Linked DNA regions of Oryctolagus cuniculus. The protein of the gene in region 7 interacts with the protein of the main gene of each other region in a pairwise test. Links are inferred from orthologs where the notes say so. Each region holds a gene or a part of one and is shown on either strand. Other genes may lie near its edges. The genes, in order: DCX, RIBC1, FAM110A, TXLNA, FAM81B, SH2D4A and RINT1.

Region 1 (4,099 bases), on a different chromosome or scaffold from region 7:
CTCTATTGATGCCTATAAAATCAGAAGTCTGAGCAACAGCCTGATGCATTAACAACTACATTTCCTAATTTCTTTCCATGAAATCTAAGAATGGAACCATAACAAATGAGAGCACCTCCCACCAAAAGCCAGCACCCACTACTTGAATTACCTTCCTCCAATTCATCCATGCTTCCAATCTTCCTGGATCCATCAATGGTGTAAATGTAACGCACTCCCTGAGGCAGGTTGATGTTGTCAGACAGAGATCGAGTCAGATCAGCTAGCAAGGCGTCGAAGCTGCGGAAACGGTCAGAGGACACAGCGTACACAATCCCCTTGAAGTAGCGGTCCCCATTGCGGTAGAAACGTACCTTCTTGGCTTTTTTCTCATTGCTCAGTGCCTGCAAGGTTCTGGTTCGGTAGAAGCTACAGTGGGCGCTGTGAGTGGGGCTAGGCAGCCCGTTCATCCTTGAACCTCTCATGTTCCTAGATGCCTTATCTCTTTCATCAAAATGTCCAAAATCAAGTTCCATATTTCAGTGGAACCTCAGAAACCTGAGTGTTGGAGAAAGGGGTAGGGGTAAAGAGAGGCAAAGAAAAGGGGTCAAGGAGGGAAAAAAAGAGAAAGAGATTCAAATATTAGCCAGATCCAGGTCTGCAATCTGCTGCCTGTGAAAAGAACTGGTTGAAGAAAGCCCGTGACCCATCTGCTGCTTGCCCTGACCTGCAGGAATATTGATCTTAATAGAGAAGAAGGAGGGGCGGGGCAGGGGTGCTGGTGGGTGTGGGGGTTGGGAGTAAGAGATAGAGAGGGAGGCACTTTGGGCACGGTTCCAAACACAGGAGAGGGAGGGATCCTGAAATAGCGTAAAATCTTGAGACTACTGACAGTGGCTCCTATCATATTGTAACTTCGGGCTAAATACATTAAAACTGGCATCTGTTTCCTCACACATGCCCACATGACTAACAGTTGTAAATGAATCCATAGCTTGACAAAATTCCCCCTCAGAGAACAGAAGGAGCTAGCCAAGGTTAGCATCTCCAGCTTTGGAAGGGGTCTTTGCATCTCAGCACAATGACTATGAAGGGGAGTCTTTTAATTTTATTCCAAACCCTCTTTCTTACTCTAATGTGCGCATCCCCTCCCCCCCAGAACAAACTGGGATTCTCTTTTAAAGGGACAGCCTCCAGGGACTAGCCAGTGTCTTTGTGCTATTCATCAAACCCTTTCCCCCACCAAGCTGGTGCAGAGCTCTGACATGCACAAGAAATAAGATGAGAAAACGGTTTAGAAAAGGCAGTCATTTAACAAGTTATTAGCTCTGCTTTCCCTTGATACCATTTAGTCACAAAATCCTGTTTGTGTTTTTTTTTTTTCCCCAGGTGCTTCATCCCCTCCCTTCAGATGCAGCAACACCTCTTAATGAAATAATAATCTAATTGTTTCAAGATTTCCAAATGAGTCCCTGGAACAGCATATGGGACCTTTAGAAGCAAGCACACCTTTCATTGTTCTGGGTTTCTACACTGAATGAAGGGGCATTTTTGGTTTCACAGCAGGCAATTCACCCCCAACTTGTCTATTGCCCAGGTGATTTAGCTACAGAAAAAAAAAGAGGGATATCTGTCAGGCTTTGCTTTTTCCTTTCTGCAGAAGCCCCCCACCAAACCTCAAAAGACAAAAATGCAATGAAAACACCCAGCCAAATACAACCAAAGCCCCAAACGCCAGCAAAGGTAGTGACATAGGAATCAAACTATTAGCATGCATCTCACAGATAGGCATAAAAGGACTCACAAAGCAAGTAGGGCTCAGCTGCTGCACACTGCCACATGGAGGTATTTGCAAGGGACCCGGAGGACAAGAGATAAAGGGAGACTGGTGCCTAGTGGGATTGCCACGCTAGACGCCCCCCTCCCTTTTTCCAATGTCACCGTGACCTATGCTGAGCTCAGCATTGTCTCTGTCAGACAACCTGCAGTGGTAAGACCCCACCTCCTCAACACGAGCAGCAAGCATTTCCCAGCCTGCCAGTAACGCTTTGCTTTGCTTTACCATCAGAGATATTATTCTAAATTAACAGCAAAGTGAAAACAAAGGAACATGAAACTTACTTTCCAAAGGAAAATCCCAGGTAGAGCTTTAAGGGGAAAAATCCGACAGAATAAAGCAAAAAGGAGAGGAGGAGAAAGAGAGAGAAAGAGAAAGGGACAGAGAGCACGCTTTGCCTTGTGCTCTTGTGCTTTTCCCGTTTGACATCTGTTACATTCTGCTTGAAAATAACTGGAAAGCCCCACTCACCGGTTTTCTGCTGGTTGGGTGGAGATGCTGAGAGAAAGAAAACCAATCTCTCTATGCCTTTGTTGTCTGAGCTCCAAGCAAGAAATTCCTGCCAGGGTGGATAGATGCCTTCTAGGTCCTAGTGCCTTGTCCAGCTTCTCCCCTGTAACTCAGGCTTAGTGAATCCCCCCAACCTCCTATGATTAATTACATTCTTTTTTCTCAATTCACAGGCTGCATTAACAGCTAAGTTCCATTTATAACCAACAGGAAATTGCAGGGTAGCAAAAAGGTTGCACAGGCAAATTCACTATGCTCTAATGAGCAATGTGCTAGCCCTTTCTTTTAGAAAATTGGCAATTTCTCTTAGCCAAAACCTTGACCTAATCTGCCTGGAAGCCAGGCTCAACCCACCAAACCAGGCTTCTTAAAATTGTAGCTCTCTCCTTTTTTACGCTCTTGAAATAAAATAATCAAATCTGTGAATTTTGAGGCATTTTAATTCATGCATCCAACAACTGGTCATTTTTCAAATGAGGTAAGTGGAGTAGACTAAGAGGGAGTAGGAAAGAGTCCATACAAGAGAAATTAGTTCCAGAATTTCATGGAAGATAGATTTGAAAAGGATCCCTAAAGACTTTTAGGCAACTATAACAATTTGGTTAATGAAATCTGTGTTTTTTACCTTTAAACGTTTGAGAGTTTAGAGACCTGTGCTGTGACCTAGTAAGTAAAGCCACCACGTGCAGCATCAGCACCCCATATAGGCACCGGTTTGTCATAGCTGCTCTCTTCTGATCCAGCTCTCTCTTATGGCCTGGGAAAGCAGCAGAAGATGGCCCAAATTCTGGGGTCCCTGTACCCACGTGGGAGACCTGGAAGAAATTCTTGGCTCCTGGACTTGGCCTGGTCCAGCCCTGGCCATTGCAGCTATTTGGGGAGTGAACCAGCAGATGAAAGCGCTCTCTCTCTCTCTCGCTCTCTCTCTCTAACACTGTGTTTCAAATAAATATAAATAAATCTTAAAAAATAAAAGAATTGGGAGTTCAAACCTAACCTAGACATGTTTCTCTTTGAAGTGAGTCCAGTGACTACAAGTTAAGAGTTGTCTCTTCAAATTGCCTATTTGTAACTAACTGGATTCTTTACATCACCTATGTTTTAAAAAGACAAAGAAGCATCCAAATTAAACTCATTAGATCAGACCAAACTATGAGACAAGAGGAGAAAGATGAGAGGCTAAGTGAAAAGTGGGCTACCGTCTTCACAACTGAACTCTGTGCATTAATTAATGTGTAGCAGCCTTGAATTATCATGGTTTCATTTTCACTTGGCTTCCAGGAAGCTCAGAGGTAAAAAGTACACTCAGCAATTACTATATGTCTGATTCTTAGTAAATTAACCCCTTTATATAGATCTGTTAATCTTTCATATTTAAGCATTTTCTGTGAATTTGTTTTACTGTAAGCTGCCACCAAGTGAGATTAAAAAAAATGAGCATTTTTCTTCCTTGGAAGGTGTTGGCTCAGCAAAGCATAAGCTATCCGTATTAGATGAGTGGACAACTTCAAGTGTGCAACCTGCCTGCTGAAGTCCTCCCAACACCTTGCTGCTGCTCTCTTTGTTTCTATGTAAGTATCTCAGTGGAATGCATCTGTGCACACTGATCTCTTCCATGTATTGTTGCCTTACATTCTTGCAACCACTTGAAAAATCAGGATTATTCAGATCAGAAAGATAGAAATATCAAAAAATAAGTGCAGGAAAATAGGAAATTTCAGTGAGGTGAATGTCTTAAAAGTACTTTCTTACATATCATAATCATTCATTAAA
Region 2 (3,500 bases), on a different chromosome or scaffold from region 7:
CATGCCACATGGATGCTGGTTTCAGTCCCAGCTGCTCCAGTTCCTATCCAGCTCCCTGTTAATGGCCTGAGAGAGCAGCGGAAGATGGCTCAAGTCCTTGGGTTCCTGCACCCATGTAGGAGACCCAAATGGAGTTCCAGGCCCCTGGCTTCAGCCTGGCCCAGTTTTGGCCTTTGCAGCTATTTGGGGAGTTAACCAGTTGATCCAAGATCTCTCTATGTGCGTCTCCCCCTCTCTCTCGGTAACTCTGCCTTTTTTTAAAAAAAGATTTATTTTATTTACTTGAAAGACAGAGTTACACAGAGAGGTAGAGACAGAGAGAGAGGTCCTCCATCTGCTGGTTCACTCCCCAGATGGCCGCAATGGTGGAAGCTGCGCCGATCTGAAGCCAGGAGCCAGGAGCTTCTTCCGAGTCTCCTACACGGGTGCAGGGGCCCAAGGACTTGGGCCATAGCAGAGAGCTGGATCAGAAGAGGAACAGCCGGGACTAGAACCGGCGCCCATATGGGATGCCATCACTTCAGGCCAGGGCTTTAACCCGCTGCGCCACAGCGCCAGCCCCTCTGCCTTTCAAATACATAAAAATAAGTTGTAAAAAAAAAAGTCAAAAGGCAGACCACATCAGTCCACTGCTCAAAACCTTCCAACAGCTGCTCATTTTCTCAGTTAAAGCCAAAGGCTTTATAATATAAACTGCATGGTCTGGTGCCCCGTCATCTTTCTGACGTCATTCCTCCCCACCTGTCTTTCACTCGGTCTCACCAACCACACTTGCCTGGTGCTGAGGCCTTTGTGCTTGCTGTTCATTCTGCCTGGAATGCTTTCCTCCCAGATATTTGCATGGGTGATCCCCTTGCCTTCTCAGCCATGGTGCTTCTCATTTCCATAAATTGCAACACTCCTCCATCTCCTTGGTGCTGGCTCACTCGCTCTCTCCCTCTCTCCCTCCCTCTCTCCCTCCATATATATATATATATATATATATATATATATATATATATTCTATATTTTCCTATATCACTTATCATCTTACAAACTAACATACATTTTTGTTTTACTCTTTATTATCTGTCTGCCTCCACTAAAAAGCAACCTCCAAAAGAATTTGGATTTTTGGCAGTTTTGTTCTTTGTGGTCTCCCAAAGGCTTACAGAAGTGTCTAGCCACTAGTAGACACTCCACAGGTATTTGTTAAATGGTGGTGCAGTGAACATTGAATGAGAAAAGCACGGTGCAGAAGAATATGTACAGCCTGATAATTTATTAAAATAAAAAAAAATTTAAATATTGTCTAGAGATCCATACGTATACTCAGAATATTAATGAACACAATGGAATGGTAACACATTTTGGCTGGTGTCTGGGGTACTCTTGGAGAAATGGCTCATTACTTGCGGCGGATAGAAGATACCTCTCTCGCGCGCTTTCTCTCTGCCTCTGGAGAGTTGGTTCATGGGTCTCTATTTTCATGCTTCCTAACTGACATATGGGTTGTATGTATTTTCCTGTGTGTATCAACTACTTGATAGTCACAAAATGGTTTCAAAAGCAAACAAACACACCAGAATAGCTATGGAAGGAGTTGAGGAATGATGTTGCAAACACAGAAACACCACATAGAAAGGCCCTGAGGTGGGAACAGTTTTGCTGTGTCCCTGGGCTTGGTAGGAGGCCCCTGTGCCTGGGGCACTAGAGACAAGGTAGATAGTGGCATGAGAAATCAAAGGAACTGGATCTTGAAAGTCCACAGTGAAGAGTTGGGCTCTTATTCTAAGTTCAATGAAAGACTTTAAGTAGGTAAGAGATATCATCAGATTTGTTTGCAGAGTTTCTTCTGGCTGCAGCTTTGGCTGGCTCACAATGCCACAAGTGAGCTTCTGAAAACCTGAAGGAACAAAGGTAGATATAAACACTCTATCCTTTCGTTCCACTAGAAAATAAGTCACAAAAGTACAGGGTTGGGGGAATTGATTAGAGAAAAGAGAGCTGCTTCTGGTTTCTGTGTGATGAGCAGGCTATAAAGAAGACAACAGAGAGAGCAGGAAAAGCAATGTGGAGACTCTTGTAGTCACTCAGGAAGGTGATAATGGGGGCTTGAAGGAAGAGGGAGCAAGAGGAAGAATTCAAGGATGCTTCCGGGATTTGGGGCCTGAGCAACTAGGTTAATGGTGATGTCATTTACTGACACGAGGAAAACTCATTAGATCATAATGAAAAGGGGGAAGTGCTATCTGTGCTTTTGAGGCCTAGAAAAGTGAGCAGGGCTCAGATGATGAAGAACCTTATAGATCCAGTAATGGGGAACTGGACCCCGCCTTGTAAGCACCATGGAGCCGTTTACTCGAAAGCTGCTTTTGAAGGTTTTAAGCTGCGGAATGGCACAGTCAGGTTTGCTTTCGGAAAGATCACTCAGGTAGCCTAGCTCAGATAAAGCCAGTGCAGAGAGGGTGACCATGGGGCAAGGAAGGCCAGTGAGGCTCTGGGAATGTTGCATGATACCACTGTGAGGCCTGAATTAGGGTGGTGATGACAGGGATGGAAAACAGAGATACGAAGTATGCTGGAAAATCAAATCACTAGGAAGCGGTAGGGTGAGGAATAGAGGGTGGAGTATACTCAAGGCTGGGGGCTTGCACTGATGGGCCATTCTACTTCCCCTTTTCTCCAGATGTTTAAATTAGACTTCCCATCCGATCCCAAGGAAGTGGCAGCCATTGAGGCCAGAAGAAATAGAGAAAAAGAGCGACAAAGCCGATTCTTCAATGTGCGGAACCGAGTCATAGGGGTAAGTGGGCAGTAGGGCCACTTCATCTTCTACCCGGAGAGGAATGCAACAGCGCCTGTCATAGCCCTTTCCCTGATTCAAACAGGCCCTAGGGCTGGAACGGAAGGAGATGGGGAGAAGGCATCACCACCCCTACCCCAGGCCCAGGGCCTGGTATAGCACAAGAGCCTGGGGATGGCAACTGACTCTTCCCAGGTTAGCTCTGGGCTGTGTAGCCTGGGTTTGAGCCAAAAGAGGCCTGAAGAATATTCAGTATTGTATATGCCTGAGCCAGCTCTTTAAGGCTACATAAAAAACTGTTTACCAGGCTGAGGTACACTAAACAGTATTTCCTGTTGTACTATTTGGAAATGTTTTAAATGAATCACGATCAAAAAATAAAGACAAAATACCAATAATGTAAGAAACAAACTAAAAGATGGCTGGGCGGGTGGATAGAGGAGGATTCAGCATGGGATCTTCTGGAAAAACCACCATACCCCTGTTCAAAGCCAGGTCTGCTGTTGGATAGATGTGACTTTGGATAAGTCACCCGCCGTCTCTGAGCTCCAGGCTCCTCCTCTGTACAAGGAGGTAAAATAAAGGAAGTGTAGCAATGAGTCTTAACAAGGTGCACTCCTCAGGGTTTGCTCTGTGCTGACCACTGTGTTGGGCAGTGGGGATACAAAGATGAATAAGGCCTGGTCCCTGCCCTGAAAGGGCTCTCCGCCTGGCA
Region 3 (4,000 bases), on a different chromosome or scaffold from region 7:
CACTTGTCAAGTGCTTAGCACATAGTCAGCGTTCAAGTGGTGCTGGGAACTTTGGTCCTCTGTGGAGTGGGCAGGAGGCCCCTCCCCTTCCTTCCACCTGCTTCTCTCCTGGCCTTGGGTGCAGACGGTGAGGCCCTCGCCTGCCCCAGCAGAGGATCAGCAAGGCTCCAAGCAGTAGCAGCCGCAGCTCGGTTTCAGCCCAGCTGTCCAGGGCAGAGACACCCGGCTGGGCGTCCTCCAAGGCCACGCTAGGCCTCAAGCTATTTCTGGAGGCTTCCCAGACGCTCGTGCCCTGGCCTGCCCAGGAGCCGGCCTTGCCCTCGTCTCAGGAAGGCAGAGCCGAGCAGGCTGTGGGAGGGGTGTGGGTGTGGATGCCCAGGGCACTGAACTCCTGCCTGGCCTGCCCGCATGCCCGCCCCCAAGGACCCAATCTCCCGGGCCTCAGTTGGCACCAGAGGTTGCAAAATGAGGACAGAGGGGCTCGTAGTGGGAATGGAACGAGAGACACCACACACAGGGCCTCGGGGAAGGGCCCGGCCCAGGATGCGGAGGCTGGCCGTTGAGGCAGGCGCACAGCCAAGCCCACTTCACGGCCTAGATTGCCCTCTGCTCAGACCTGAGCTCACCATCCTGGCTTCTCATCTCAGCCCAGAGATGTGAAGAAACTTGCCAAAGTCACACAGCAAGTCAGAGACAAGTCATACAGAGTGACGGTCTCATGAGACACGTGTGTGTGTGTGTGTGTATGATTATTGTTTTCAATGAGGTAATGCATGCACATGGCTCAAAATTCAAACTATAAAGGAAATAAAGTTAAAAAAAAAAAACACAACTCCCTCCACCTCTGTCCTCACTACCACCACCCCCCACAGGCACCACTGGGGCCGGAAAAATTTTAGGCAAAACCAAGCAAGTATGAACACTAATGATTTCCTTTGTACACACATGGCACCACGCTGCGTAGACTGTTTTCACCTGCTCTTCCTTGGCGCACAGTATGTTGCTCTTGCTGCCACGTCAGTAGACAGAGCGTACCCCCCCCCATTTGTTTCCCTGGTCCCCACTGACAGCCACTGTCACCAACCACGCTGCAGCGTCACTGCGCCTACATTTTGCCTGAAATGGGGCGGCTGGGGCCAAGGGATGCATTGGCGATTGCAGCAGAGATAGGACCGCGTGCCCCAGGAGCCACACAAGTCTGTGCCTCACCAGGGGAACACACCGGTTCACTTCACTTAACTCCATGACGGAGATCACGGCCACCGCAGGAAGTGTGTGCCAGCGATGCATGCCTCCTCCCAGCCCCCACCTTCATCGCCTTCTACTGGGAGAAGATAATCAACTCGCTAGCAAGCAGAATTTATAGGACACAGGACAGAGCAAACGAGGAAAATGAGACATCAGGGGAGGGTAGGACACGCAGTCAACAACCACTTCCCGAGGGCAGGCACTGGGCACAGCAGTTCAGCCGCCACTTGGGACACCCACAGCCCATACTGAAGTACCCACCCACGCCCTAGGAAGTAGCACAAGTGCTTGGGACTCTGCCACCCCCGTGGGAGTCCTGGATGAAGTTCGGAGCGCTTGGCTTCAGCCTGGCCCAGTTCTGACTGTTGTGGGCATCTGGGGAGTGAACCAGCAGATGGATGATCACTCTCTGTCTGTCTCCCTGCCTTGCAAATAAAATGAAAATAAATAACTATTTGTGGAAGGAATGGATGAAAGGCTTTTCTTTCTGAATTTTCTGAGCTCTTCTCCCCAAAGCCAGGAAACGGGTCCAGAAGGGAAGAGAATAAGTAACTCTCTTGTGATGAGATTCAGGATTCGAATTCTGCAGTTCTCTGAGTGGAGGATTCTAAGACTGAAGCCAGATGGACCAGGTGACTTCGGGCAAGGAGCCTACCTCCTTCAAGGAGGAAGCTGTTCCCCCACCTACCAAAGGAGACCAACAAGAGCAGGTGCAGGGAGAGGGGTCCCCAGGAGGCAGAGCAGGGTCTGGCCCAGCTCAGAGGCTCCACCTGGAGGGCCCCAGCCCCAACCCCACCCCCAGTGTTTAGGGACTGCTTCAACCCCTCTCCCGACCCCAGGCAGGTTCCCAAGAAGACAACAGCGTCTCCGAGGGTTCAAGAATCTACTGCCCACTTGGCATCTATCCTGGAAACGTCGGTCCCCTCCCATCCCCAGAAAGAGGGCCCTGGGAGGGGGTGTTGGGATTCAGAACCCCCGACAGCAGAAGGGCCCCAGGCGCGCTGGGTCTCCTGAGGACGGTGCCGAGTGGGCAAGGTAATCCAGCCAGGAGTTCAAGGGCCGTATCCGTGCCGAGGACAGACTGGGAAAGCAACCGCCGGTTACCTCTGGGCCTCTCAAGGCAAATTTGCACCTGCCTAGCCTTAGCGGCTGCGCAGGGGTAAAAAAAGACGGCCTAGGACCCTCGTCCTTCTGAGTTTCAGCTTCCGTATCTGAAATGGCACGCAGATCATACGCGGGGAGGACGCCCGGGAGCGCTGGGCGGACGCAACTCCCAACACCCGGGCTCGCAACCGGGACCACCCCCGAGCTCACCTGGAGCCCGCGCTAGGCGTGTGAGGTTGACAGCTCGGACCCGGGCCGGGGGTGGCCGCGCCCAACGCAGGCAGGTCCCAGCCCCGCGCGGCGACCCGCAGGAGCCTCTTCGGAGCTGCGCGCGGCACCTGAGACGCGCAGGTGTCCCGGTGTTTCCGAAGGCCTCCCCGGAGCGAAGGTCCCCGGGTCGCGGAGGAAAGGGAAGTGGGCCCGCCGCTCCCCACCCCGCAACTTCCCCGGAATGGTTCGCTCCGGACTTCCTGATTGGTTCCTCGCTTCCGTTCGAACGCCGCGGCGCCCAGGTTGCCAAGCGACCGCTTAGCTTCGGCTGCGCGCTGGAGGCGACTCACAGCCCCGCCCCTGCCGGCCCGGTGTCCTCCCGGCGGCTGCGGGAGCTGGCGCCTGGCTCTTTTCCTGTCTTCTCCCTACTTCTCGGGTTAGGCCTTCCTCTGGGGATCCAGCTGGAAATGGCACTAGTCGGGGCCTCGGGCAGGTTCCTAGTCCTGTCTTTGTCCCTAATTTGCTGTGTGACCGCAGACCTGTCCCTGTCCGTCAGAAGAGAGGTCTTTCTAAAACCTTGCATATCCGGCCGTCCCGAAATTTGCAAAGGAAGTGGCTCCAAACTGAGCAAATGTCAGTAGTAACCCAGCAGTAGTCGGCTTAGTGAGATGATGCGGAAACAGCAGCGCTTATCAGGAGGTCTGGTTACGCAAATGCACGCTGTGCCAGTGGCTTCGTGTAACCTAACCGCGGCAGGGCCCGCGTCACATCCTTCGCCACGGTCTGGTGAGGAACAGTATGCAGCCACCAAAATGATGCACTTAAAATATATTTAAAGATATGGTGAAATGCTAACGGAATGTTGAATTATTAAAAGTTGCTTCAAAGTCCTATGCATACATATTATATGTAACCGCAATATGTATATATGCATAATCACATAATAATAGTAGTTAATTTCTTTTTATTTGAATGTTTTTGTTGTACATTTTTTAAAAAAAAACTTTATTTATTTGAAAGGCAGAGTCAGAGAGAGAGAGAGGAGAGAGAGAGGTCCTCAAAATGGCTTTAATAGCTAGGGCTGCACCAGGCAGCAGCCAGAAACCAGGAACTCCATCCTGGTCTCCCATGTGAGTGGCAGGGGCCCGACTCCTTGGATCATCTTTTGCTGCCTTCCCAGGCACGTTAACAGGAAGCTGGATGGAAAGCAGAGTAGCCAGGACTTGAGCCAACACTCCAGCTGTGGGATGACAGCATTGCAAACTGCAGCTTAACCCACTGTACCACAAAGCCAGGGCTTTGCGGGTTTTCCTAAAGTCCATCACGTGGACTTGTCAAGAGGGGGAAAGAAAAAAAAAGACATTTTTAAGGGCACTAGACTAAATTCACCCTCCAGGCCCTTTGATAGAAATTTGATAGTTGTCAGTCACTGTTTGGG
Region 4 (4,226 bases), on a different chromosome or scaffold from region 7:
CAAAACCTCTTGGAATTCCTTCGGGGGGGGGGGGGCACCACTGGTGGGAGAAAAGCTTGTCTGCCTCCCAGCAGATAAAAGGTATCCCACCTGCAAATTCAGGGCTACTGTTTCAATGCAAAGTGGGGCCTTCCCAGAGAAGCAGGATCCGAAAAGGTCTCCTGGCCTCCGTGAGAAATCTATAGCCCTGTGTACGAGGCATCCAAACAGGGAACCTTATAATGAAGAGACCTTCAATGTGTGTTCCCATGATTCTTTAAAAAAGTTCCTCTTTCAATTAGGGTGACAAGTGCTGGGGGCGGGGGAAGGGCGGCGAGACAGGGACTAGGACACAAGTCCAATGTCATCTAACCCAGATTCTTAACAGACACGAACTCTGCTGTCAAAAAACCGTCTCTGCCACTTCCCCACTGCCTGTGCCCAGTGGGGGGCCTTTCCCCAGGGGCTGCTGACCAGGCTCCAGGCTGCTCAGCCTGCGGAGGCCCGAAGACACCAGCACAGAGATGCCAATCACTGGCACACAGGCCAAACCCGGCTCATGCATGGGTTTTGTTTGGTTTCTACTACTGAAATCTACAGATTTCACCAGACTCTTGATTTCTGGCTTTTCTTAACAGAAAATAAAATTCCAGCTGCACCCAGTCTGAGGTTCAACACGCTCTCAACTGACGAGCTGGCAGCAGGCACAGTGCAGAGCACTCAAGGAACAAGGCTGCAGTCCACCCTGGGCAGAAAGCAGGCCCTCCCTCGGTCCTGGCTTACACAGACGTTTGCGTTTGCAACTTTGGCCTAGCCCAATCCTCTCCTTGTAGAGAACTGGAAACTATTGCCCAGGGCGGGGAAAGGACATGCCCAAGGTCACACAGCAGGGACGAAGCGGTGTGGGCAGGTACAGAGCCCATCCAAACCTCTCCGCTTTGTCCATGAGGATCAGGCTCCATTTCACTTGCTCCCAACCTGAACGACTCCGGCCTGTGGCTGGAATACCCTGCGCTTTGAATCAACCAGGGAGACTCCCTGCTGCACAGCCCAAGGAATGTCAGGTGCAAAGCCCTCCCCACAGCCCCCCGCAGCTGCCCTCTGCTCACCCAGACCCTTGGCCTTCTTCTTTTCCTGTGGCCTCCGGTGGTCTCGGTCTCCGACCTCATCGCTCGTCCGGATCTCTTCCGTGCCCGGCTCTGCCTTGGAGGTCTCCTTCTCGCCATTGACTACTGGGGTGCCCGGCTCCGGCTCCCCATTCCTTGCCACATAGGCGCGAGACTTCTCTGCATCTTCAGGTTCAGGGGGCTCACCCTGGACCCCATCCTCACCCGGGGCCCCCTGGTTGTTGTCCACACAGTATGTACTGAGTATGTCTTCCAACTGGCGGCTCAGCTCCTCAGAGACATCACAGAGCGCCCCAGGCTGAGCAGTTTTGGCTTGAGCCCCTAGGGCAGGAGAGGACGAGAGGCAGCGACAGACGGCAAGGTTAGACCACCACCTGGGATCGTGAGCCCAGCCAGCCTCACTGGTTCAGGTTTAAGGTTGCCCCAGCTTACTTAATTCTCGCAACCTCCCCAATACAGTTTGTTCAAGCATAAAATAAGTACGTACGGCACCTGGGACTGCCATGTCGCAGGAGGCAGGCAACTCAATGTTTCGTCCATTCCCCTCCCTCTAAAAGCCCCCGCTTGCTATGCAAGCAGCTCCAGAAATGCCTCGACAACGAACCAAGGGCAGTGACCCACACTGGTGACCGAGGTCCTTCGGATGGAACCCGGCGTCACTGGCTGAGGCCTCAGGTGCCGGCCACCTGCGAGAAGCCTGCAAGGGCCTCCCCTCCCCAGAGCCTGGGATGCTCCACATCCCCGCTGCCTCCTCCCTGGGCCGGGCCGCGAACTCCTCCCCCAGGCGGCTGGAAACGCAGAGCTGGCACACACCCTCCGGCCTCCCGGGAGCCTGGCTGCTGGCACCTTCGGCTTCTCGGGCGGGGGCCGGCCGGCCGGGCCGCCCCTGGGCTCCCTCCGCTCCTGCTTCCGGCTGTCCCGGGCTGCTTTTGGGGTTGGGCTGTTTGGCAGCCCCGTTCTTTTTGTCTTGATTCTTCATTGTGCGCTGCCACCTTAGGTTGGGATTGGATCCTTGAGAAACACAGTTGCTATTTTCCACAGAATTCTTCGCAGCCTGGATCAGAAATCACAGCCCAGGCGCACCTTCAACGGAGGGAGCCAACGGTTCTCCCGCTGTCCGGCCGGTCAGGGGGCCTGGCGCACCCCGGCGGGTTTCCGGGGCGCTGCTCCTGGAGCGGGTGAGGAGAGAGGCCTCCTTGTTCCCCCCGAAGCCACTTCCCGGCCCCACACGGCCCCTCACGGCAGGCCCGGCGCGGGATTGGCTCCCGGCCGCAGACTGACGTGGCGGGACGCTCGACTCCGACCCCTCCCCCCGCGCCCCAGGTCCCACGTGGGCTCCCGCGCCCGCGCGCACGCAGCCACCCACGCCCCGCGCGCCCTCCAGTCGCGCGCATGCGCACAGCGTCACCCCGACTCCCCCCACCCCCGCCGCCGCCCACGCGCAGAAATCGGAGCAATTTCCCCGCTGGCCGAAAGTGTCCAGGTCTGCAGGCCCTCACCGTCCGTCGTCCCGCCGCTGGGCTCACCTCACGGGCGACGTGCGACCGCGTCCCCAGCGCTGGCCTCGCACCGGAAACCCTGGGTAACCGCTGCCGGCAGAGCCGCCTGTCCGAGCCACAGCCAATTAGTAGCCGGCGCTGGCGCGGAGCTTGCCGGGAGCCGGGAGCGAAGGCGGCCTCCAAGGCGGGTGCATCGGGAGGGCGGGGACAGGAGCGGACTACACGTCCCACCATGCATCGGTCGACACAACTCCCAGGATGCTCTCGTCCTCAGAGCCGCGGACTCCGGAGGGCTGGGGAGCCGGTGGTTCTGAGCAAACCTCCACGTCAACCTCGCCGGTGTCGTGCAGAAGCCCTGTGCGGCCCAGCCTCACTGCGCCCGCGTGCCTCGGTCCACACTCCGTCAGTCCGGGGACTCCGGAGAGGCCTGGGCTGGGAGGCAGGCCTGTGTTCCAGGTCCGACTTCATCCCTAGGTGCCACGCGACTGGACGTTCTTTTCTCTCCCTGCCTCGATTTCCTTATTCTGACGCAGGCTTTCAGTGACCGTAGCGGTTCTCTGAGCACACCCCGTGTGCTTCCCTGGTCTCTTAAAAGCCCTGGCCTCCTAGCTGCTGGAGATAAGTACTATTTGTCATTCCCATTTAACGGAAGAGGGCTGTAAGGCTCGCGTTAGACAGCTCGCCCACGGTCACAGATGCTGGGTTCGAGCAGTGGTTCAGAACCTGACTACTCCGCTACCCTGCCTTTTACTCAGAAGAAATAATCACCATTGCAGGCGTTCTCCAAGAGCCCGGGTAACTTGTGAAAGGTAGTTACCCCCCCCCCCCCCCAATAAGCTCGGCAGTCCCGCAGGAAGGGGCAGAGGGGTCCCTGCAGGGGTGTTTGACCTCAGGCCCATTCCTGAAACTTCTTCGTCCCATTTTGTACAAAGTCCTTGTGGTACTAGGGCTAAAACTGAAAAGGCCAGATTTTTCTCCAAAGGTGGGATCACAATTTTTTAAAAAGATTTATTTATTTATTTGAAAGGCAGAGTTACACAGAGAGGAGAGGCAGAGAGAGAGAGAGGTCTTCCATCCGCTGGGTCACTCCCCAATTGGCCGCAACCGCCAGAGCTGCGCCGATCCGAAGCCAGGAGCCAGGTGCTAGGAGCTTCTTCCAGGTCTCCCACTGGGTGCGGGGGCCAAGGACTTGGGCCATCCTCCAGTGCCTTCCCAGGCCATAGCAGAGAGCTGGATTGGAAATGGAGCAGCTAGGAGGTCTTGAACTGGCGCCCATGTGGGATGGCGGCACTGCAGGCACCAGCCCCGAGGTCACAATTCTTTATCACCGCTGCTTATAGACGTTGGAATAAAACCCAGTACTCTTTGCACCTGGAATCTGAAGAGCCTACGTGGTTTGGCTTTTGCCTCTTCCATCCAATCTTGGGTTTTTTGCTCCAACTCTACTTTTATGATTCACAGGGTTTCTCAGGTTTTTGCAGATGCTTGCTATTTTTCTTCCAAAGTGCACTTATGGCAAAAATAAACAACAAACTTGAGAGCCATCTCAAAGAGCACATCAAAACCCTCCCAGTGCTCTGCCACTGTTGCAGCTCCCTAGTGTTAACCAGATTAGTCCCGA
Region 5 (3,500 bases), on a different chromosome or scaffold from region 7:
GGAGAAATACATACATCAAGGAAGCGGAGCCATTACGGAAGATGCTTATGACAGAGATTGGGTGGTAAAGAAGAGTGCCTGTTTGAGACCTGTCCTTGAAGTCCAGTGCGAGTAGACATGCCTGTTGTTCCATGTGTTGGCTGTCCAACCTTGTGAATCTTTGATCAAAGAAAGTATACTTTTGATAGATGTTTCTCCAAGGAGTCTTTTCAGTAGCTGAAAGATAATCCAAAGAATTTAGGACTAAATGGGAAAAAAATGGAGAAAAGACTAATGATTCTGTGCTACCAAGAATTATTTTAATTTTTAACAAGCTATATTTTTAAGATTTTTAGATTTGTGCTTTGGATATTATCCTGGAGTCACACTTTGTTTCATAGGGAATTTGGGTCGCTGATTATCTGGGAAGACTTAATAGGAGCAGCCATTCTTTTGTATTGTGACAGAATAAATATCTTCCAGCTAATGCTTATATCCCTTGCTGAAAATCTAAATTTTAGAATACTATAAAGTCCCTAAGGGGCTTGTTCACTTAATATTAGGAATAAATCAGTATTTAGAAATGGAGTCCCCTGTAGTTAGAATCCTCACATTGTAGACCTATGAAATGCCACTTCTAGTTGGCATCTCAGCTGTCATCTGTTCAGTTGTCTCTTTAATAGAAAAATAATTCCCAAAGGAAAAACTGCCAGACAGCTAATCAGTGTCATTGTTAGACCCCCAAACACAGATATAAAATTCAGTCATATGCCTTTCATTATATAGTAATCAGATCGCATCACAAAATCTAGGAAACGGTCCCCGTTTGTTTATTGTGGAGTTTGGCTGTGTCGTATGTTACTTCAGATAAAATAGTCATACTCTGGTCAAGAAGATATTTCAGAGTATGAAGATATATGTTGTTTTGTAAGAGGTTTTGATCTGCATAGGAATTTTCACTATTCTTGTACTACTTGCCATAATAAGGAGCATCTATAAATGAGAAGCATATTTTAGACATTTGATAGGAGCTATATTTTTTGATGAGGCAATCAGAAAAATTACCAGACTAAAGTATGTGTGATTATATTGTTAACTGCCACCCCCTTGTGGGATTTTTTTTAAAAGATTTATTTTATTTATTTGAAAGACAGAGCTACAGAGATCTAGAGAGAGAGAGAAAGAGAATCTTTCATCCACTGGTTCACTCCCCAGATGGCCACAATGGCCAGAGCTAAGCCAAGCCGAAGCCAGGAACTTCATCTAAGTCTCCTGTGCAGATGGCAGGGACCCAGACCCTTGGGCCATCTTCTGCTGCTTTCTTAGGCATTTAGCAGGGAATTAACACAGACTGGCACCCATGTGGGATGCTGGCGTTCTAGGTGGTAACTTCACCTGCTATGCCCCAATCATTTCTCTTTTTAAGGATTATCAGACTAAAACACATTAACTGTTGATGTAAGCTGCAAAATAAGGTTTATAAGTAATGAAAGACCTAACAAATGAAAAAAAGAAAAAGCAAAGAAAACCAGTCCTCTTGCAGCTTTTTCACAACTTAGGGAGAGGAGTCTGTGCATAGTCTCTGTTGGACCTCTTCAGCCCCCTGCAGGTAGCCTTTCCACCTCACTGAAGCCACTGTGGTCAGGTGCGAAAGAGCAAATGAATGAGAGAACCGTGGGAGCCTAGAAATGGGAGGGGTGAACAGTGAGTTTCAGGCTCTCCTGTTGCAACATAGATGAAATGCTGAGCCTTTCCCTGACTCCAACTTTTCTCACAAAAAAAAATTATGTTACCTTACTTAGCCTGTGACTAAGTTGAGAAGGATGGGTTACTGTTTGGGACTCGTCCTTGGTGTCTGGTGAAAGCAGAATAATTTTCCTTTCCATAATAACACAGTGCTGTAGGCAAGTGAGCTAACCAGCCGAGGAAGAAGTATTTAGCAGCGAATTTCTCAGCCTCTGATGTGTTTGCTAACAATATGGAGAATCTCAAAGCATGAGTGTAGTCATATGTCTGAAAACACGTATTACTGAGTTTTCCCTTAAGGAAGTAGAATTTTTCTGGAGATATCATTAATTTTTTTGAGGGGGGTACTTATAAACTCTCACTCTCACTTTAGGAGCTTTACAGTGACATCTTGATACTAACAAACCTTTTTTTTTTTTAACTTTTATTTAATGAATATAATTTCCAAAGTACAGCTTATGGATTACAATGGCTCCCCCGCCCCCAAAACTTCCCTCCCACCCCCTGCTCTCTCTCCCCTTCCATTCACATCAAGATTCATTTTCAATTCTCTTTATATACAGAAGATCAGTTTAGTATATATTAAGTAAAGATTTCAACAGTTTGCACCCACACAGAAACACAAAGTGAAAAATACTGTTTGAGTACTAGTTATAGCATTAAATCACAATGTACAACACATTAAGGACAGAGATCCCACATGAGGAGTAAGTGCACAGTGACTCCTGTTGTTGACTTAACAAATTGACACTCTTGTTTATGGCGTCAGTAATCACCCTAGGCCCTTGTCATGAGTTGCCAAGGCTATGGAAGCCTTTTGAGTTCGCCGACTCTGATCATATTTGGACAGGGTCAGAGTCAAAGTGGAAGTTCTCTTCTCCCTTCAGAGAAAGGTACCTCTTTCTTTGATGACCTGTTCTTTCCACTGGGATCTCACTCGTGCACTCGTGGAGATCTTTCATTTAGGTTTGTTTTTTTTGTTTTGTTTTGTTTTGTTTTATTTTGTTTTTTTGTTTTTGTTTTTTGCCAGAGTGTCTTGGCTTTCCATACCTGAAATACTCTCACGGGCTTTTCAGCTGGATCCAAATGCCTTAAGGGCTGATTCTGAGGCCAGAGTGTTGTTTAGGACATCGCTATTCTTTTTTTTTTTTTTTTTTTTTTTTTTTTGACCAGCAGAGTAGACAGAGAGGAAGAGACAGAGAAAGGTCTTCCTTTTGCCGTTGGTTCACCCTCCTATGGCTGCCATGGCTGGCGCGCTGTGGCCGGCGCATCATGCTGATCCGTAGCCAGGAGCTAGGTGTTTCTCCTGGTCTCCCTTTCGGGTGCAGGGCCCGAGCACTTTGGCCATCCTCCACTGCATTCCGGGCCATAGCAGAGAGCTGGCCTGGAAGAGGGGCAACCGGGACAGAATCCGGCGCCCCGACCGGGACTAGAACCTGGTGTGCCGGTGCCGCAGGCCAACATCTGGTATTCTATGAGTCTGCTGTGTATCCCGCTTCCCATGTTGAATCATTCTCTCCCTTTTTTATGCTAGCAGTTAGTATTTGCAGACACTAGTCTTGTTTATGTGATCCCTTTAACTCTTAGTCGTATCATTATGATCAATTGTGAACAGAAATTGATCACTTGGACTAGTGAGATGGCATTGGAACATGCCACCTTGATGGGATTGAATTGGAATCCCCTGGTATGTTTCTGACTCTACCATTTGGGGCAAGTCAGCTTGAGCATGTCCCGAATTGTACATCTCTTCCTTCTCTTATTCCCAGTCTTAA
Region 6 (3,500 bases), on a different chromosome or scaffold from region 7:
CTTGCACCCATGTGGAAGACCCAGACATGATTTCAGGAGGATCATGGAAAATGGAATTAATAGGTAACTTTGGGGCGGGCGTTGGGCTGGCTGTTGAGACAGTGTTGAAGATGCCCACACGCCACATCAGAGTGTCTGAGTCCGACACCTACCTCTGACTCCTGCCTGCAGCTTCTTGCTCATGCAGACCCTGGGAGGGAGCAGGTGATGGCTTGTGTAGTCAAGTGCCCACTGCCCACCTGGGAGACCCGGATGGAGGTCTGCTCCTGGCTTCCACCTTGGTCCATCCTGAGCTGTTACAGGCATTTGGGGAGTGAACCAGATTACTATCTGTCTCTGCCTCTGTCCCTCTCGCTGTGTCTAAAATGAATTTTTTAAAAGATTTATTTATTTATTTGAAAGGCAGAGCTACAGAGAGAGAGAGAGAGTCTTCCATCTGCTGGTTCGCTCCCCAAATGGTTACAACAGCCGGAGCTGAGCTGATCCGAAGCCAGGAGCCAGGAGCTTCTTCTGGGTCTTCCACATGGGTGCAAGAGCCCAAAGACTTGGGCCATCTTCCACTGCTTTCCCAGGCCATAGCAGAGAGCTGGACCGGAAGTGGAGCAGCCAGGACTTGAACCAGCACCCATGTAGGATGTTGGTGCTGCAGGCAGCAGCTTTACCCACTGTGTCACAGCACTGGCCTCTCTAAAACGAAGTTCTAAAAAGATACATTTAGTGTAGAATGAGAAGTTAGCAATCCATGCAGAGGTGCTAAGCTGCTGAAGAGCCTGCTGGTTAGCTTCCTCCCTGCCCGTGCCCCAGCCCTGGCTCCCCTCTGAGTGAGCACTGCCAGAGACGAGTCTCAGGACAGGACCGCTGATGGCAAGGAAAGAGAGCAAGGTGCTGGAAGATGCTAGAAGCATGGTGGTTTGCCAGGAACTAGGCTTCCCATGAGGCACGGTGCCCCGGGGGGTCCCTGGAGGCCAGTGGAGGCAGGGCCCAGAAGAGGCAGTCTCGGCTGCGCATTAAGAATCCTGAACTGGTCTGCAGCCCAGGACGACAGAAGCCATCGCAGCGACCATGTTTGTGAAATGAAAATACGCGCAGGTTCCAACCGGTGGCCATCTCGTGCTGTGTGGTGGCATCCCAGCACCCTGGAGGGTATTTGGTTTCTCTGAGGTGCACCAGCCTGACAGGGCCTGGCCGGTGATGCCCACAGAGTCAGTGCCTGTGGTGAAAGTCAGCAGTGGCTCCCGCATCAGAGGCCGTAACACTGCATGTGCTAAAACAGAACGAAAGGCCCTCCGAGTCGCCACGCAGCGTCAGAAGGCGGCCTGGGCGTGTGTGTTGTCCGCCAGGCCCTCTGGCCGTGCTCACTTGGGCTGGGTGTGACCTGGGCCCTCCTGCCCGCTGGACCTCTGCTGGGACGCAGGGCTCGCTGGGCCCCGTGCAGAGGGCGTGAGGGACGTGGCAGAGGCCTCTGATCATTCAAGGCCTCGCCCGCCTGACCCTTGCCCCGTGTGCACCCTCTCCATCCCTGCCTCACCCCTTCTTCTTCCTCTTCCTCTGGGGAACCCCCCCCGGCCCCCACGCAGAGAGGAGAGTGAGCCCTGAGGCTGGTCGGGATAGCAGGCGATGGTGGGACCGCGCAGGGCTCTGAGCGCCCGGCAGAGTCCGTGGCTGGCTGGGGGCCAGCGCTGCCCCCTCGCCCCGGCCCTGTGGGCTGGCTGACAGGCACCTGGCCCCAACCCCTTTCTTTTTCTAGTGCGAAAATCCAAAGCGGCCGACGAGAAGAGACGCTCCCTGGCCAGGCAAGCTCGGGAGGACTACAAGAGGCTTTCCCAGAGGGGAAGGAGTGGCCAGGGGCAGCAGAGCCCCTCGAGCGTCCCCCAGAAACCGAAGAGACCCCCCCTTCCGCCGAAGCCTCAGTTCCTGAGTGCGGCCGGGTGTCCTCCGAAACCACCCAGGTAAGAGGTCACGTGGAGAAGCGTGACAGGGTGCATGCACTCGGGTGGACCCACCTTACCCCGACCCCTGCACCGGCCGCCTCATGTAATCCAGCCTGACCTTGACCGCTCTGCCTGGGGTTCCTGATCCTGCCTTTGTTCCCTCTGACCCCGGTTGTTAACAGGGACTGATTATACGATGGTCCCCCCACCCCCCCAATAGCCTAGTATTTAGAAAGAGAATGTTTAAAATCGGAGCTGCCCACAGCCTTGCCTTCTAAACTCCAAACTGAGAATCCTGGAACTGAAACAAACGGGTCTCCCCTTGCTTGGAGCCGGTGGTGATCTCAAGGCCTCTTGAACATGGGGCGGGGACGGGGAGCAGTGGCCACAGAGGACATGCAAGGGTGGACCTGGCTGTCCAGTGTCATTATTTCTGTTGGCCCAGGGCATGTGGGCACCAGCGCTGAGTGACCACGGTCTCCATCGTGGGCCTTTGGGGGATGCTTGTCTTGTTTATGGACAACGAGACAAGAAAGCGGTGAGGGCATGGAGGGGAAGCTGTGAATTTTTCAGCGGGTCGGGAAGGTGCGTGGGCTCCTGCACCCACCACTCTGCACCAGCTGCCTCGTGCTCACGTGGGCACAGCGCTGGCCAGATGTCCCTCTCCCGCGGGTTTGCAGAGCAGTGTATTTGACAGCAGCAAAGGCGGCCTTGTGGTCCCTGCTGGGCTCGGTTGGCTCATTTTCCCAACGGAAGACGCCGCGTGGAGAGCTTCTGGAGGTTCAGGCCAGCCGGGGTCAGGGCTGGGGTCTGAGCAGTGCTGACAGGGGCCAGCTGGAGGCCAGTCTTGGGGAGAGACAGAGACCGGCTCCTCTTGTGCCTTCAGGGTTTTGCCTGAACTCCAAGGACTTCCCAGAGAAAGAGAACCTACTTGGGAAGCTGGTATGGGAACTCAGTCTACAAGGTCACACGTGTGCAGTGTTGGCGTCCCAGGAAAGTTAAATGCCATAGGCCGCTGCCTCCAGACTGCTCTGAAAGCAATGAGGGCCATTGCCATAGACACACAGATGTACATGTCCCGTGTCTGTGCATGTGACATGTATGTCACACATGACCGACAGCAGCCTCTCCTTCGCTCCTATAAAATGCCTAAGAGGCCCATCCAGATTCTTTGTCACTTTTTAATTAATTTATTTATTTTTATTTTTTGACAGGCAGAGTGGACAGTGAGAGAGAGAGACAGAGAGAAAAGTCTTCCTTTTTTGCCATTGGTTCACCCTCCAATGGCCGCTGCAGCCGGCGCACCGCAGCCGGCGCACCGTGCTGATCCGAAGGCAGGAGCCAGGTGCTTCTCCTGGTCTCCCATGGGGTGCAGGGCACAAGCACTTGGGCCATCCTCCACTGCCTTCCCAGGGCACAGCAGAGAGCTGGACTGGAAGAGGGGCAACCGGGACAGAATCCGGCGCCCTGACCAGGACTAGAACCTGGTGTGCCGGCGCCGCAAGGCGGAGGATTAGCCTAGTGAGCCGCGGCACCAGCCATCACTTTTTTTTTTTTTTTAAGATTTTA
Region 7 (3,500 bases):
TGGTATTTCTGCTGTTGGTAAGATCTTTCTGGTTGTAGTTTTTATTAGTCCACTTTTTGTTACATTAACTAAAATACCTGAGAGGAACTTCCTGGCAAAGAGAAGGTTTATTTTAGTATACAGTTTGGAAGTTACAGTTGAGGCAGTCCCATAGCCTGGTGTATGATGACAGGTGTGGTGGAGTGATCGCATGGTGAGCCAGGGAACAGAGACAGAACAGCTAAGCAGAACTTGAACTCAAATAATCAACACTCTCGGAGAACCACACTTTGAGAACATCGCATCCCTGTCTAAACACTTCCCACCCCTCAGATGCCACAATTGGATCAAGTCTCCACTCAGCCTGTCAGCTGTTAGCAGTAAGACATCAGTGTTTAAACATCTGCTGAGTTTGGGACAGACAGGTCCTACTTAGCCTGTACCATAGTTTGTCTAGTCAGCATAACACTTTGGAGTTTTGGGGTTAGGAGGAGTAAAATATCTGTTTAAAACACAGCATGATAAATATACTCCAATTAATGTGAGATTGTTTGTAGAAAGTTATCATTGATTAAGACATTGTGAGCTGAAAAATTAGGAATTCCTGCAACTACCTATTTAGCATAATCTTTTTTTCTTCATGTCAGTTGCTCTTCAAAAAATGGACTCAATGCTTTCATCCGAAGCTGCCTGGGTATCCCAATATAAGGATATCACTGATGTGGATGAAATGAAAGTTCCAGACTGTGCAGAAACTTTTATGACTCTACTCCTGGTTATAACTGGTAAGTATACATTTTTATTTTTAAAAAATTTTGATAGGTGGAGGGACAGAGAAAGTGTTCTCATGTGATGATTACTTCCCAAATGCCCTCAATGGCTGGGATTAGGCCAAGCACAAAGCTAAGAGCCGGGAACTAAATCCAGGTCTCTAGAATTGTAGCAGGAATCCACTTGAGCCATTGTTGTTGCCTCCCAGGAGCTACTTTTTTTTTTTTTTTTTTTAAAGATTTATTTATTTATTTGAAAGGCAAAGGCAAGAGAGAGAGAAAAGTCCTCTGGTTCATTCCCCACATGGCTGCAATGGCCAGAGCTAGGCTGGTCTGAAGCCAGGAGCTTCTGGGTCTCCCATATGGGTGCAGGGGCCCAAGCACTTGGGCTATCATCCACTGCTTTCCCAGGCACATTAGTAGGGAGCTGGATCAGAAGTGGAACAGCCAGGAATCAAACCGGCACCCAAATGAGATGACAGCACCGCAGGCAGTGGCTTTACTCACTACGCCACAGCGCCAAGCTTATATAATTTTTTAAAAATTCATTTATTTGAAAGACAAAATGACAGAGAGGAGGGAGGGAGAGAGAAAGATCTTCCATCCAGTGGTTCACTTCCCAAATGGACACAGCAGCTAGGTCTGGCCAGGCTGAAATGAGGAGCCTGGAACTCCACCTGGGTCTGGTACTTGGGCCATTTTCAGCTGCTTCCCCAGGTGTGATAACAGGGAACTGGATCAGAAGCAGAACAGCTGGGATTCATACTGGCATCCCTATATGGGATGTTGCCATCACAAGCAGTGGTTTAACCTGCTGCACCAGAGTGCCAACCCTCTTTTAAATTGTTTCTTAAATATTCTATATAATTTTTCATGTATCTTTAAAAAAATGAGGTTTAGGGGCTGGCGCTGTGGCATAGCGAGTAAAACAGCTGCCTGCAATGCCAGCATCCCATATGGGCGCCGGTTTGAGTCCTGGCTGCTCCACTTAAAATCCCGCTCTCTGCTGTGGCCTGGGAAAGCAGTTGAAGATGGCCCAAGCCCTTGGGCCCCTGCACCCACGTGGGAGACTCGTAAAAAGCTCCTGGCTCCTGGATTCAGATCAGCACAGGTCTGGCTGTTGGGGCCATTTGGGGAGTGAACCAGCGGATGGAAGACCTCTCTCTCTCTCTCTCTCTCTCTCTCTGCCTCTCCTCTTTATGTAACTCTTTCAAATGAATAAATAAATCTTTAAAGAAAAATCAGTCAAAAATATTTAAAAAATTAAAAAATGAGGTTTAACTTATATAAGGTGAAATGCACAGAAATTAAGTATACTCTTCAATGAGTTTTAACAAATATATGTACTTGTGAAACCCATATTCTTAGAGAGTCAGAATTGGGAAAATGGGCCCATACTTGAATGACTTTTTTTTTTTTGGTTAGGCATTAACGCAGGTCAATAGGAAAAATCTGTAACTGTGCCTTGGATCAAAAGTCTTCATAAGTCATAACTTTCTCCACAGACAGGTATAAAAATCTTCCCATGGCTTCCCGTAAGCTGGAGTTCTTGGAGTTACAGAAGGACTTAGTAGATGATTTTAGGATACGGTTAACACAAGTGATGAAAGAAGAGACTAGAGCTTCCCTTGGCTTTCGATACTGTGCGATTCTTAATGCCGTGAACTACATCTCAACTGTACTAGCAGACTGGGCTGACAATGTTGTGAGTTAATGTGCTTTATTAAGTAATACATTAGTAATTTGAACTGTTTTCCCTTTCAAATGTTGAATCTCTTGAAAGCAAAATATGTTACAATCACAATGATGCCAAACTTAAAAAGTATGATTGAAGTACATTATTTTGCTTAATCAACCTCAAATAGTTAAACAATCCTAAAATTTTAGAGTACTTAAGCACTGTAAAAAAGCAGAAGCCGTTCATGAAAAACTTTATACAATGAACCTTTTGCCTCTGTGGACTTCACATGTGGGAAATATTCATGCATGGCAATCACTGACAAGGCTAAGATTAAATCATGATGTCAAAGTCAATAAAATTCAAAACTTTAAGGAAAATAGAATAATACTTCATACCTCTCGGATGTGTTCATAATATAACAAATTATGAAGAATCATAAATATATTAATTTATGTATCTTATATTCAAATATATACAAATATAAATAGAATAGGAAAATGAACCCATTTGGCTATTACCTAGCTTCTTCTTTTTTTTTTTTTTTTGACAGGCAGAGTGGACAGTGAGAGAGACAGACAGAGAGAAAGGTCTTCCTTTTGCCGTTGGTTCACCCTCCAATGGCCGCCGCGGCCGGCGCGCTGCAGCCAGCGCACCGTGCTGATCCGATGGCAGGAGCCAGGAGCCAGGTGCTTTTCCTGGTCTCCCATGGGGTGCAGGGCCCAAGCACCTGGGCCATCCTCCACTGCACTCCCTGGCCACAGCAGAGGGCTGGCCTGGAAGAGGGGCAACCGGGACAGAATCCGGCGCCCCGACCGGGACTAGAACCTGGTGTGCCGGTGCCGCTAGGCGGAGGATTAGCCTAGTGAGCCGCGGCGCCGGCCCTATTACCTAGCTTCTTACAAAAATTTTGTATTTTTTTTTTAACATTATTTATTTACTTGAAAGGCAGAGTTACAGGAACGAGGTAAGAGAGAGAGAGAGAAAGAAAGATCTGTACCTGCTGGTGTGCTCTTCAAATGGCCACAACAGCCCAGGCTGAGGCTAGGAGCCAGGAACTGCATCCAGGTCTC

The links.
Region 1: the proteins of RINT1 (region 7) and DCX interact in binary tests that used the Homo sapiens proteins (3 or more experiments, as listed by UniProt). The two-hybrid records come from large-scale screens. The link is inferred for Oryctolagus cuniculus from reciprocal best matches to the Homo sapiens genes RINT1 and DCX.
Region 2: the proteins of RINT1 (region 7) and RIBC1 interact in binary tests that used the Homo sapiens proteins (3 or more experiments, as listed by UniProt). The two-hybrid records come from large-scale screens. The link is inferred for Oryctolagus cuniculus from reciprocal best matches to the Homo sapiens genes RINT1 and RIBC1.
Region 3: the proteins of RINT1 (region 7) and FAM110A interact in binary tests that used the Homo sapiens proteins (3 or more experiments, as listed by UniProt). The two-hybrid records come from large-scale screens. The link is inferred for Oryctolagus cuniculus from reciprocal best matches to the Homo sapiens genes RINT1 and FAM110A.
Region 4: the proteins of RINT1 (region 7) and TXLNA interact in binary tests that used the Homo sapiens proteins (3 or more experiments, as listed by UniProt). The two-hybrid records come from large-scale screens. The link is inferred for Oryctolagus cuniculus from reciprocal best matches to the Homo sapiens genes RINT1 and TXLNA.
Region 5: the proteins of RINT1 (region 7) and FAM81B interact in binary tests that used the Homo sapiens proteins (3 or more experiments, as listed by UniProt). The two-hybrid records come from large-scale screens. The link is inferred for Oryctolagus cuniculus from reciprocal best matches to the Homo sapiens genes RINT1 and FAM81B.
Region 6: the proteins of RINT1 (region 7) and SH2D4A interact in binary tests that used the Homo sapiens proteins (3 or more experiments, as listed by UniProt). The two-hybrid records come from large-scale screens. The link is inferred for Oryctolagus cuniculus from reciprocal best matches to the Homo sapiens genes RINT1 and SH2D4A.

The regions. Positions count from the first base shown.
Region 1 is NC_091453.1:82,099,631-82,103,729, reverse strand, and holds the start of DCX (neuronal migration protein doublecortin), read right to left. Parts: upstream 2,801-4,099; 5' UTR 2,288-2,800; intron 538-2,287; 5' UTR 516-537; coding exon 152-515; intron 1-151. UniProt on the Homo sapiens protein: Microtubule-associated protein required for initial steps of neuronal dispersion and cortex lamination during cerebral cortex development. May act by competing with the putative neuronal protein kinase DCLK1 in binding to a target protein.
Region 2 is NC_091453.1:37,533,130-37,536,629, forward strand, and holds part of RIBC1 (RIB43A-like with coiled-coils protein 1), read left to right. Parts: intron 1-2,668; coding exon 2,669-2,785; intron 2,786-3,500.
Region 3 is NC_091442.1:26,831,807-26,835,806, reverse strand, and holds the start of FAM110A (protein FAM110A), read right to left. Parts: upstream 2,801-4,000; 5' UTR 2,563-2,800; intron 1-2,562.
Region 4 is NC_091438.1:140,273,197-140,277,422, forward strand, and holds the start of TXLNA (alpha-taxilin), read right to left. Parts: upstream 2,801-4,226; 5' UTR 2,633-2,800; exon of another isoform or gene 2,606-2,632; intron 2,491-2,605; exon of another isoform or gene 2,276-2,490; 5' UTR 2,086-2,275; coding exon 1,920-2,085; intron 1,428-1,919; coding exon 1,089-1,427; intron 1-1,088. UniProt on the Homo sapiens protein: May be involved in intracellular vesicle traffic and potentially in calcium-dependent exocytosis in neuroendocrine cells.
Region 5 is NC_091445.1:18,096,874-18,100,373, reverse strand, and holds part of FAM81B (protein FAM81B), read right to left. Parts: intron 217-3,500; coding exon 1-216.
Region 6 is NC_091439.1:3,452,112-3,455,611, reverse strand, and holds part of SH2D4A (SH2 domain-containing protein 4A), read left to right. Parts: intron 1-1,747; coding exon 1,748-1,949; intron 1,950-3,500. UniProt on the Homo sapiens protein: Inhibits estrogen-induced cell proliferation by competing with PLCG for binding to ESR1, blocking the effect of estrogen on PLCG and repressing estrogen-induced proliferation. May play a role in T-cell development and function.
Region 7 is NC_091434.1:138,802,863-138,806,362, reverse strand, and holds part of RINT1 (RAD50-interacting protein 1), read left to right. Parts: intron 1-626; coding exon 627-764; intron 765-2,254; coding exon 2,255-2,454; intron 2,455-3,500. UniProt on the Homo sapiens protein: Involved in regulation of membrane traffic between the Golgi and the endoplasmic reticulum (ER); the function is proposed to depend on its association in the NRZ complex which is believed to play a role in SNARE assembly at the ER.